3 linked regions of the Cricetulus griseus genome follow. The protein of the gene in region 1 purifies or fractionates together with the protein of each later gene. This does not show direct contact. Links are inferred from orthologs where the notes say so. Each region holds a gene or a part of one and is shown on either strand. Other genes may lie near its edges.

The links.
Region 2: the proteins of Rabggta (region 1) and Chml purify together in Homo sapiens (co-immunoprecipitation; 3 studies listed by BioGRID and IntAct, counting the BioPlex papers as one, with this or other methods). This does not show direct contact. The link is inferred for Cricetulus griseus from reciprocal best matches to the Homo sapiens genes RABGGTA and CHML.
Region 3: the proteins of Rabggta (region 1) and Chm purify together in Homo sapiens (co-immunoprecipitation; 4 studies listed by BioGRID and IntAct, counting the BioPlex papers as one, with this or other methods). This does not show direct contact. The link is inferred for Cricetulus griseus from reciprocal best matches to the Homo sapiens genes RABGGTA and CHM.

What each region holds. Positions count from the first base shown.
Region 1 is NW_023276807.1:210,918,567-210,922,674, reverse strand, and holds the start of Rabggta (geranylgeranyl transferase type-2 subunit alpha), read left to right. Parts: upstream 1-1,286; 5' UTR 1,287-1,486; intron 1,487-3,451; 5' UTR 3,452-3,605; exon of another isoform or gene 3,606-3,711; intron 3,712-3,844; 5' UTR 3,845-3,911; coding exon 3,912-3,914; intron 3,915-4,036; coding exon 4,037-4,108. UniProt on the Homo sapiens protein: Catalyzes the transfer of a geranylgeranyl moiety from geranylgeranyl diphosphate to both cysteines of Rab proteins with the C-terminal sequence -XXCC, -XCXC and -CCXX, such as RAB1A, RAB3A, RAB5A and RAB7A.
Region 2 is NC_048598.1:18,011,582-18,015,834, forward strand, and holds the start of Chml (rab proteins geranylgeranyltransferase component A 2), read left to right. Parts: upstream 1-1,446; 5' UTR 1,447-1,695; coding exon 1,696-3,549; 3' UTR 3,550-4,253. UniProt on the Homo sapiens protein: Substrate-binding subunit (component A) of the Rab geranylgeranyltransferase (GGTase) complex. Binds unprenylated Rab proteins and presents the substrate peptide to the catalytic component B.
Region 3 is NC_048604.1:58,850,214-58,854,183, forward strand, and holds the start of Chm (rab proteins geranylgeranyltransferase component A 1), read left to right. Parts: upstream 1-1,154; 5' UTR 1,155-1,343; coding exon 1,344-1,358; intron 1,359-2,212; coding exon 2,213-2,324; intron 2,325-3,970. UniProt on the Homo sapiens protein: Substrate-binding subunit of the Rab geranylgeranyltransferase (GGTase) complex.

The sequences.
Region 1 (4,108 bases):
TGGTCTAACTTGTAGTCCTTCTGGCCCAACCACAAGGCTCTGGTGGTCATGTTCTGTCTGTATACCGCTGAGAAAGATTTCTATTGGCCATCCCATGCTCACCCCTACTCCCTATCTATATACCTAGTTCCTCACTAACCCATTCTCCATTCTCATCTCTGTGGCTGGGAGAATTTTTAAATAGGAGGATCAGATTTGCAGCCATATGATGTGTGTATTAAGATATATGTATATTATCCTTATTTTACAATTGTAGGAAGAATACAAGAGACACCAGAAGTTTAAGGAGAACGCATTATTACACATCATCAGTGGGGTATGTGGGGCAGTGACAGGGAGATCCCAGGAGCTTGGGGACAGCTAGTTGAGGTGGCAATCTCCGGGTTTAGTAAAATACCCTCCTTCCCTCTCCCTCTGCCTCTCTCCCTCTCTCTCTCACTTCCCAAGTGCTGGAATTAAAGGCTCCCCTTGCCCTGCCACAGAGAGTTCAATTACACAGGGCTTCACTAACCACAACCTCCAAGGAACATAAATGTTTTGGGTTTTTTTTGTTGTTGTTGTTGTTGGTTTTGGTTTTTGTTTGTTTGATTGGTTTTGTTGGTCTAGCACTGCATCCCTGGAGCCTAGGACTGTGGCAGCCCAGTCCTTATGCTAAAGAAGAGGTGACTGAAAACAAACACTCTGTCTTATGCTGCAGAGGAACCCGGCTACTGTAACTGCCTCTTCCTTACTCCCCCTACCTCTGGAGCATGGCTGCCTGCCCAGCTTTGACTGTGGCTCTTTGTCCCTTCCTTCCTCCCAACCCAAACCATATTTGGTCTCTGCTCAGGGTCCTGGAAGCACTGTGCGTGCAGGTGTTCCCCACCCCGTCTCTTTCCACACTGTGATCCGGACGATGATTCCTTCCCATGTCCACAGTGCTGACTCGTCTCTACTGGTGCTCCTATCACTGCTTTCACAATGAGCAGAAAAATCTCTTCAGGTATCAGAGCACAGCCCTCAACCAGCTGCCTGCTTCCCACTACCTCAGAGAGAAGGCCAAATATAACTCATGACAACTGCTTTTGCCATGAAGAGGCGTGTCATCAATTGGGTTGTTCTTATCTGTGAGGGCACCTGGTTTAGCTTCTCTCTGCCAGAAGCTAAGTCTGTTTGGCTTCCTCACCCCCATGTTCATGTCACACATGTCTGAAATGCCCTTCCTGCCTTCTCTTTCCAAAACACAGGCCCCACCTTCTTGAGTGCAGATGTTTTCCAGAGGACTCACTTCCTCTCGAGCCTGCCTGACTCAGCTCTGCCAGTTTCAAGATCGCTAATTATTAAATAGTCTTTCATGCTTACCTCAACCTTCACCCACCTCCTCCTCTCCTCCCTTAGTGACTATGATGTAACGCTGTCTGGCATCGGTGTTCCTGGTATCTGGTTGAATGTCTGAGTACCTATAAGATCCGGAAGTAGCCAAACAACAAAAAAAATGGATGATGAGGTAAGACTAGACCAGAATCATATCTGAGTCTTATCTAGCTACTTACTACATGGGTGACCCTCAGCAAGCTAATCTTTTTGGACCTCTGATTCATGCATGTTTGTCAGGAGAGCTAAAAATCATAACTATATTATTATTTACTGAGCAATTATTCAGTATAGTCATTATTCAAAGAACTTCTTTGTGTAGCCCTTACTGTCCTGGAACTTGCTCTGTAGACCGGGCTGGCTTCAAACTCACAGGGATACTCCTGCCTCTGCCTCCCTAGTACTGAGATTAAAGGCATATGCACTTTATTTAATCTTCACATCAACTCGAACATATAAATAAAATGTTTCTTCTGTTACTGAGTTTTTTTGAGACTATGTGGCAAAAACTAACCTGGAACTCCTTTACTAATCCAGGTTGGCCTCAACCTTGACATTTTTTTCTCTCCTCCCAAGTACCAGGGTTACAGGTGTTCTCCAAGACATCCAGCTTTTTTATTTTCTCATTTTGAAAGAGCATCTTACTGCATAGCACAGGCTGGCTTCAAACGCAGGATCCTCCTGCCCCAACCTCCCAAGGGCTTGGATTAGAGGTGTGACCCATCATGTTAGGAAGAGTCATGTTTTAAATCACTCTGCTTCTACCTCCGTGTGTGTGTGTGTGTGTGTGTGTGTGTGTGTGTGTGTGTGTGTGTGTGTGTGTTCATATGCCTCACATATATACAGAGCTCCCATCACAATCATAGCACCAGGAGCAAAGATAACCAGTAACTTACGTATGTTTTCCCCACTGGGACTGATGTATACAAGTCCAGGAAAAATCATCTTTTTTCCTCTAAAATAAGTGACAGGACCTAGAAAAAGACTGGGGACATAGTGAGTACTTTAAGTACATTTCCAGGGCACAAAAGGTGAATTGATAGGGGAGGGGACATGGTTGGGATGAAAACCATTTCAACAACCTTAGTGGGACCTGGAATGGGGAGGACATTAACAGAAAAGCAGAGAGAGAGAACAGTGCCATTCTGGACAACAATGAGAAGAAAGCTAGCATTCGGGAGAGATGGACATGACAGTATCTTTTAGCGTTTGTAGTTTGAAATACCTCTAGAACATACTCAGTTTCTTTTTTTCATTTTCTTGTTGTTGTTTGTTTGTTTGTTTTTGGTTTTTTGTTTTTTGGGTTTTTTTGTTTTGTTTTGTTTTGTTTTGTTTTGTTTTTTTTGAAACAGGGTTTCTCTGTATAGATTTGGAGGCTCTCCTGGAACCAGCTCCTGGAACCAGGCTGGTCTCGAACTCACAGAGATCTGCCTGCCTCTGCCTCCTGAGTGCTGGACTAAAGGCGTGCACCACCGCCCGGCCTCGTTTCTTAAAAATCAGAAATCTCACGATTACTTAAACTGGCCTTAAACTCTATAGAGTTTAAGTGGTTCTCAACCTGTGGGTCACCAACCCTTTGGGGGTCGCATAGCAGCTGTTCTGCAGATCAGATATTTCTATTATGACTCATAACAGTAGTAAATTACAGTTATGAAGTGGCAATGAAATCACTTTATGTCTGGGGATCACCACATGGGGAACTGTATCAAAGCGTTAGGAAGGTTGAGAACTTCCTGCATCAACCTCCTGAGAAGCTGATATTACAAGCACCACCACGGCCCCTGGCTTTTTCCAATGGGCTTCTGAATGTGTCAACGCATACGTATACTGATATGTAATTATTATTATCATTATCATTATGCATGTGGACGGACATCTGGGCTAGAGACTTGGGTACCATCACCTTCCCGATAGCAACCATGACTGTGGATGAAATTAAGAGAGCAGGCAGGAACCTGAGAGTTTTTGACAGCCGAAATTCGCTGGTGTCAGGTTGTTGGGGAAACTTCTTCAACTAGGTTGCAGTTTGAGTTGGTAACGGGAAGCCTTTCCATGTCATTCACACATTCGCCAGCCACCTTTGCTCACACACTCCTAGGCGCTAACAAGAACTGGATGACACACACGCAGCTCCCTCCCCGAGCCTGCAGGGGGCGCCGCGCCTCCCCTCACACGGCGCGAAGCCTCTCTAGCCAGGCTGGAACTCGGTGGCAGCGCCGGGCTGCACGTCCCGACACCTCTTCCCAGAGAAGGTGGGTTCGCCCGCGGGGGAGAGGGTGCTGGGATCAGCGGGACGGGCGGGCACTGCTCTCTCCGGGTGCCTCGGCTCGGGCCCGGCCTACCGAAGCTCCGGTTGTGGTGAGTGCCTCCGCCTGATCTCGCAGTTCCAGCCGCGGGACCTCTTCACTCAGGCCCGCGGGCAGCTTCCGGGAAACACCTGGGGGGCGGGGCTGTGTGGGCGGGGTTCCGTGATTGACATCTTTCTTCGCAGACTGAACGAACTACCTCAGGACCCCTCCTCTGGACCCTTCCTCTGTCCCCGACGCTGAGCCGACACCATGGTGAGTCCAGCCCCCTGCCCCTGCATGCCCACGCCCTCACCCCGCGTGGCTTTCTGTGGGGCTTCTGCAAGTCTGCCCCTGCAAGACAACCTGCATTTTTATCCCCCTACCCATCCCCGTAGCATGGGCGCCTGAAGGTGAAGACGTCTGAAGAGCAGGCAGAAGCCAAAAGGCTAGAACGGGAGCAGAAGCTG
Region 2 (4,253 bases), on another chromosome or scaffold:
TATAACCTGCTTCCTGCCCCACTGGCCCCACTGCCAGCCTCAGCCTAGAGGAAGTGAATACATGTTTACACTTTAGTCCTCATAGATTCTGTCTCCCTCTTTACAACCTGTTAGAAGAAGGGCGAGTAAGTAATTCACCTATTCTTACATATTTACACAAGTAGACTAAGCAATTGCTTCATTCTGGGCTCTCATCCTGGCTTCTCAAAGAAAGCTAAAAATAAGTAGAATCCCTGATAATCTTGGTCCGAGGTTTCTACCAGCTGGGCTTGTTAGGATCACTGTTTCAGTTAAACTGACAGGTCGGACCAGCTACTTAGTGAAGTTCGTGTAAATTCCATTTGTATGGCTTGTTTCGTAAATATCAGAAGTATCATTCTCTTAGGTGTACCTGTATCTAGAGGTCAGCAGATTTAACGGTAGTGAAAAGTAGAGGCCAAGGAACACTTGCTGCTGCTATGCATGGTGAGCCATAAAAGGCTGGCAGTGGGGTGTGTGAGTGTGCCAGCCTGCCGACTTCCAGGTGAGTATGTCCAAGGGAACAGCCTCCAGCCACACCCAGCATCACATGGAGATAGCCAGCATGTGATGGGAGGGGACAGGAGAGTCCTTTCCCATTTCTTCTTTAGAAATGAAAACATGTTTAGAGAGAGATTCGTAGTTGCAGAGACAGTCTGGCAAAATGTAAATGTCTCCTCACTTAGGTGTTATGAATAGATGTTATTTATATTGAAATGGTTTAATACAGGAAACCAAGAACTTTAACTTACACATGTACTTTGACACAGAAAATGTTACAAAACTGTTTCCCCTCAGGCCTGTTCTTTTACATACCTACATACATTAAATGCCAGTTATTGAATTAATTCTCTTGTAATGTCTGGATGTCTCATGTATCTCCTGCAAGATCCTTAGGGTAGTTCAGGATGTAAAATCTCCTATGCAGCTGTCTGGGGTTACCCGCAAATGTTCCTGACCACAGAAATATCTGCCATTATGTTGACATGCTCACTCAGCATAGTATGTTTGCATAAACACAGTAAAGCCACATATCTCTTTTAGTCTAAGCTCACAGTATTGTCCAGATACATAATTAACAATCAAATAATTGTATAATTTTTTTATTTTTTGTGGGATATTGTGTCCATGCCTTATGACAGTATTGCTGGGCTGTGGGGAGAGAATATATTAAATATCTTTTGTTCATTTTCAAGAACTAAGAAGACCTATGGGAAAGCATTTAATGACTTCTTTGGGTAGAGGTTTGTAGCCACGTTAACAAGTCAGACTCCGGTGGATTGAAACTGCTGTTGCATGAAATTGCTTTTATATTATTTATCATTGTGTTCTTTTCTTGAATTTTCTTCTTTCAGAGGAGAGTTCCAGTCACAAATGCACATGTGATGCATGGTAACATTTCCCGCTAAGGTGAAATGCAGAAATGAAAAGGACGCATCCATTTGAGTATTCTCACATACGATTACATGCATTATCGTGTTTTCCATGCTACTGACTTTTTTTTTAATGTTTAAAAATTGTTAAGCGTTAAACAGCTTAGGATTTGCAAACTCAGTGTTCCTGATTGAAGATCCCAAGTAGAGATTTTATTACAGCATAAATACCTCAGAGGAGCCCTCGACCTAGTTCCATACAGAGTTCTTTCATCAGCTGTGACCTGAAGTTTCAGCTCCTAGGATGGCAGACAAGCTTCCCACAGAGTTTGATGTAGTTATTATAGGGACAGGTTTGCCTGAGTCCATCCTGGCAGCTGCGTGTTCCAGAAGTGGACAGCGAGTTCTGCATGTTGACTCCAGAAGTTACTATGGAGGGAATTGGGCAAGTTTCAGCTTTACAGGCTTGCTGTCCTGGCTGAAGGACTATGAACAGAACCATGACAGCGAGGAAGACATGACTGCCTCGTGGCAAGACCTGATCCATGAAACGGAAGACGCCATCGCTCTTTGCAAGAAAGATGAGACTATTGAGAACACAGAAGTCTTCTGTTACGCCAGTCAAGATGATGGGGACAGCACTCAAGAGAACAATGCTCTGCAGAGAAGTCCTTCCCCAAAGGCATCTGCTACCCTGGCTGACTCTCTGGATTCTGCAGGTTTGCCCAAAGAAGGGTACACAGTATACTTTTCAAGCCACGAAGCACCTTCTAGACACACAGAGAGAAGTGATACGGAGCCGTCACCATCCTTAACTGATGCAGAGAACTCACTGGATCAAGAAAAGGATGGTGGCATCCAGACAGTTTCAGATGGAGATAAAGATGAAGACAAACCTGATATAGAAGACAACAGCAAACAACCAAAGAGAAACAGGATTACTTACCCTCAAATGATTAAGGAGAGCCGGAGATTTAATATTGACTTGGTATCGAAGCTGCTGTATTCTCAAGGATCATTGATTGATCTTCTCATCAAATCAAACGTTAGTCGTTACGCAGAATTTAAGAATGTCACTAGGATCCTTGCGTTTCGGGACGGGAAGGTAGAGCAGGTGCCTTGCTGCAGAGCAGATGTCTTTAGTAGTAAAGCGCTCACCGTGGTTGAGAAGAGAATGCTAATGAAATTCCTCACATTCTGTTTAGACTATGAACAGCATTCTGATGAATACCAAGACTTCAAACAATGCCCATTTTCTGAGTACCTAAAAACTAAAAAGTTAACGCCCAACCTCCAACATTTCATACTACACTCAATTGCAATGACATCAGAACCATCCTGCACTACGTTAGATGGTCTTAAAGCAACAAAAACCTTTCTTCAGTGTCTTGGACGGTTTGGCAACACTCCCTTTATATTTCCTTTATATGGCCAAGGAGAAATCCCCCAGTGTTTCTGCAGGATGTGTGCAGTGTTTGGTGGAATCTATTGTCTTCGCCATAAAGTCCAATGCCTTGTAGTTGATAAAGACTCTGGAAGATGTAAAGGGGTCATTGACCACTTTGGTCAGAGAATAAGTGCCAACTACTTTATTGTGGAGGACAGTTACCTTTCTAAGGAAACCTGTTCAAATGTGCAATATAAGCAGATCTCGAGGGCTGTGCTTATCACAGATCAGTCCATCCTAAAGACAGATTCAGACCATCAAATTTCCATTCTGGTAGTGCCTCCACTAGAGCCTGGAAGCAGCTCAATTCGGGTCATGGAGTTATGCTCATCAACCATGACGTGCATGAAGGACAGCTATCTGGTCCACCTGACCTGTGTTTCTTCAAAAACAGCCCGAGAAGACTTGGAACCAGTAGTTAAGCAGTTATTCATTCCTTTTGCAGAAGCAGAAACAGATGAGGAAGAACTCAGAAAACCAAGACTCTTGTGGGCCCTTTATTTTAATATGAGAGATTCCTCAGGAGTGAGCCGAAGCTCATACCATGGTTTACCTTCCAATGTGTACATCTGCTCTGGGCCTGACTGTGGACTGGGGAATGAGCATGCCGTTAAGCAAGCGGAAACACTGTTCCAGGAGATCTTTCCCAGTGAAGAGTTCTGCCCTCCTCCACCAAATCCAGAAGACATTATCTTTGAAGGTGAGGGTTAGCAAGCAGACATCCTGGAGTCAGTAACACACTTACCATCCAGCTAGACACCCCAAGGACACAGCAAGGACTTGTAAAGCACAGAACACCTTCGAAATTAAAACTGACTGGAAGTATTTTCATCCTGGTCTCACAATATTGTCACTGAAAGACAGCTGCCATTTGTGATAAGCGCTGTTCACATGTCTTCAACACCAAGACACTGGGTACCCTAATAGCTCTGCTAATCTGTCAGCATCTGGTTTGTGGTGACTCACCTTTTTCAGAATTGGCTACAGGAATCCAGAATCTCTGAATGTCATTAGCTTTATTTTACTTTTGGGTTTCACATTAGCGACATTGCTTAACTTAAGGTAGCATCGTCTTCTGTGTTCTGTGTTCAGGTTTTATCATTATCTACACAAAAATTAATATCCACAGAGTGCTACTACTGTTGCTACCACCTCGGGTGCACAGAGGAACACATAATCATAAACGGAGTGAGTTTTTTGTATATTATGTAAACACACAGGGCTGGTAGTAGGAGTAGCAGCTAATACAAGTATGGTAAAAAAGCAAGTGTTAGAAGCTTGGCCATGCATGAGCCTGTGGCTTGGGGCTGCTATTTACATGTGATTTCACCTGCTTTAACCTTTGTCACTGAGGAGGCAGTGAGACTACGCTAGCCTGCTACTTTACAAAAAAAAGTGCCCCTTAGTCGTTTGAA
Region 3 (3,970 bases), on another chromosome or scaffold:
GACTATAAGCACCTGAGACACTAGACAGTATAAAGGATTGTCACACTACTGCATCTTGCATTTGAATTATTTTGAATTCTTGGAAAATAATTAGACGAATAATTCCCAAGATTAGAAAGTACTTTCCTTAATTCAATGCAACCCTCCCCTCTCTTTTTGCTTTAGTATTTTCAGAAAGGCAAGCATTTTAAATAAGGTAGAGTGGTAGAGTGGGAGGTGACAGACCTTGAAAATACTCATGAGAGCTATGTTAACTGTTTGGCATAGACAACCTTTAGCTCACTTATCAATTATGACCACTTCTATATAAGTCTATTTTACTTTAATCATTTCTCCAGCATCTTCGTAGGAGAAAGTTGTTTGGTCTCCTCTTATTTTGGTTGGAAATCAGATTGTGAAACAAAAGATTTATTAAGCATCTACTATTTTTTATTATTCTTTCACAGTCTTTTCTCTGCCTCCTTTTGAAACTTACATTGCTAGGCAGCTGTTTGAACTGATTAGAGAATACAGAAGGAATCCCATTTTGTGGAAACTAGGCAAAGGGATTTTTATTTGGTTGGTTCCCCCTGCCCCCCCACCCCCACTGGAAATACACAGAATATAGTTGGACAGTATTATAATGAAGTGAAAATCGATGTCTCTTGTTCCAAAAATAAAAATACAGACATGCTAGGGGTAAGAGTTTTCCTGGCATGAATGAAAATCTCCTTTGTTCAAAATGAATTGAATTTGAATTTCACTCCTCCTTGAATGTCTCTGACCAAATTTTTGTTCGGTAATTGTCAAGGGGTGTACTCCTCATGCTCGACGAGTCGAATACTTACATTTCTTTTCCGTATCAAACCTCCATGACAAATAAGCTAGTTCACTGAAGACTGTAAAATGAATAGAACTTTTACCACTCTCGTTAACATTTCAAATACTTTATCTTTGCCACTTTCCTGGACCCTTCACCCTAGAACTACAACACCCAGAATGCACTGTTTTTCCTTCCGCCTTCTACAGAGAGTCGGCCTGAGGAATTCACAGCCACAAACAAAGGTCACATGACACGTTTCCTGTCAAGATGGCGGATAATCTCCCTTCGGAGTTTGATGTGATCGTAATAGGGACGGGTATGTGTGGCCGTGGTTTTTCCTAGACAAAATTTAGGAAATAATTCTCGCCTTTTAGTTTCTCTTTCAGTGGCGATGGTTGGCGAGAAACGGCGGGGGTCGAGCCTGGGAGGGAGGAGGCAAAGGAAGTGAGGTAGCCTGGAGTCAGCGCGGGACTTGGCAGCTCCAGGGAGGGGCTTGGAACCTCGGTGTTTTGCGCCATTTGAGTAGGGGTCGATCTGGTCGATGCCGATTGCTGAGGTTGGTTGCTGCGGTGATTCCTGTTAATTTCCTAGAGGAGGGTGGGTTTGCAGTGTCATGAGAATGGAGGGTCGGTATTTGATCAATGGAGACGCCATTGGCATACTATAATTGCCTCTTTCCCTCGTTGATTTCAAGGTTATATTCCCCATCGTTTTCTGTCGCCATCTCATAGGGCTTTTTCCATATACTTACATGATTCTAGGATACGTTGCAGCTCAGATGTAGCTTAATTTGCAGTTAATAAGAATGATGCTCAGTCTCCCCCCCCCCCCCCCCCATGTATTTCTATTACGGGAAAGGAAGTGGACTCCTTTTTTATGTGTTGAGTACCCTAAGAGCCTTTTCCCCACTGAGGTAGCCATTATTCTTGCATTCTGGTATTTAAGGCATCCTTGTTTATGATGCAGAAAGGAAGCATATTGCTTTCTTTCACCCATCTATACACCACAACTAGATGTGCCCAGAATAAGCCCCAATGTTCATTCCAGATCCTGTGCCTGACCTTAGCTTCTCCTTGTTTTTCCATCATTAGTTCTCCATGTTTTGGGTGGAGTCAGAAATCCTCTTCCGCTTCTAGTTGATTAGTTAATCCTACAACACTTGTCAGCAATTAACATTTCTTTTCTTAATTATAAGGGATGTAGTTTGCATAAGATAAAAGAGATAGTGGGTGGGTTTTTCTGCTGTCTGTAGAATGTGGTAGGCAGCACAAGCTTTGGTGAATGGGACTCTGTCCATTGTATTAATTTAATTTGCTCTGTTCCCATAGAGTAAGAATAGCCATATTTCCAGGTTTAGAGTAAAAACAATAGCAACTCGTTTTCAAATGTTTGTCATTTCCTAATCAATAGACTAAGCAATTCACAAAATTCCAACAACAAACTTGCTCGAATGGATATTCTCTTCAATACACAGAAGAGGAGAAGCAGCCTGGAAGTCTAACTTGCCAAAGTCACACTGCTGGTAAATATCCAAAGACCAGCAGTATTCAAGAAATGGAATCACTTTTTATTTACTCTCAAAATTGTACAATGTTAGCAGAAATAAGTGGGAAAACTTATTCTAGATCATGCTAATTCAATTTCCACAATTTTGAATATAAGGAGCTTAGATCAAATAGCCTTTAAAGGTGTTATCCAAACACAAATTCTCATATTGTAGATATACCGGAGTAATTAATTGTTCTTAGAAGAGTGGAGGTGTGTTTATTCCCAGTCTGAAGATTACTACCACAATAGCTAACCTGGTTGTAACTGCAATGAACAGATGTTGGATGACACAGTAGACTATTCACTTCTCCCAGTCTGCTCTAAAACAACACCATCCATTTTTAGAGTAAGGTGTTTTTTTTTTCCCCGTTTTGTTTTTTAAATTTTACTTGAATTCTACTTGATTTGGGTGATATGGTAACTTTTATTAAATGTATTAATTCTTTTAGACACATTCAAAAGTGGAAACATTTGGTGAAAGTCATTTTTCAAATAAAATGATTCTGACACTTTCAATCATTTCTTGTAATTGAACTGATTTTTAAAGCATTTTGCTTTCTTTCTGAAATACTTCATTGAAGTAGACTTCAAATGTGTTGGCATTGTTACATTAATTCGTAGATAACTTACAGGAAAAGCAGTGTTTCATAACTTCAGTTCTGTTGACAAAAGCAAAATGAAGTATATCATTATCAGAAACAAGTAAAGAACTAGGCTGTGAGTTATAGTTCCCCTTAAGCATGTTTCTAGTTAAAATATCACCAAGAGACAATTGCTTCATCAAGTAGAATCATCCAAGAATATTGTAAATGTCTACCTACCTTAAATAGTTTTTTATTTTTTCATTTTTGCATGACCTGGTATAAAGGTTTCCTTTAAAGTCATATTTTCAAGATAAGGGAAAATAATATCAGAATACCCAAAGAAAGAAAGTTAAGATACAGCACTTGAACTATGGAGGAATAGATTAAAGAGGTAAAACCAATTGGAATCTCAATAGGGAGGAAAGATGGTCATAAACAAATGATTAGAATGTGGTCTTTGGCTTGGGTACACTATTGTCATTTCAGAATAGTTTGGCATTTAAAAATAATTTTATCAATAATTTTGTGGGTTGTGGAAAAGTTACCATTGGGTGCAGGTTAAAAATTATCCTAGCAACAAATTGTATGATCTCCAGCAAGGCCAAAAAGTCACAAGGGAGGAAGAAATATTAGGTATAAAGGATATATGATAACATTGACATATGCCATATATAGGAGCATAATTCAGCTCCTAACTTGGAATATATTCTTATTTTAGATAGAATTCTAGCTTGCTTAAAATGCACTATAACCAACTCATTTTGAAGGACAGACTCTTATCACCCGTGAAGAATATGTTTGGCTGGTGCTATTAGATGCACAGCTGACTGAAAACTCAGAGCTCTATAAGGAAGGGAATGTACATGAAGTGGCATAATGCCTTGACATGTATTAGTGTAAACACATACACACACACACACACACACACACACACACACACACACACACACAATCTTTTTTTGTGGTATTTAGTTACTATAGAGAAACTGCTCTCCTGTGCTTGTAATACTTACTGTATTGCCTTTTCTTAGAAACC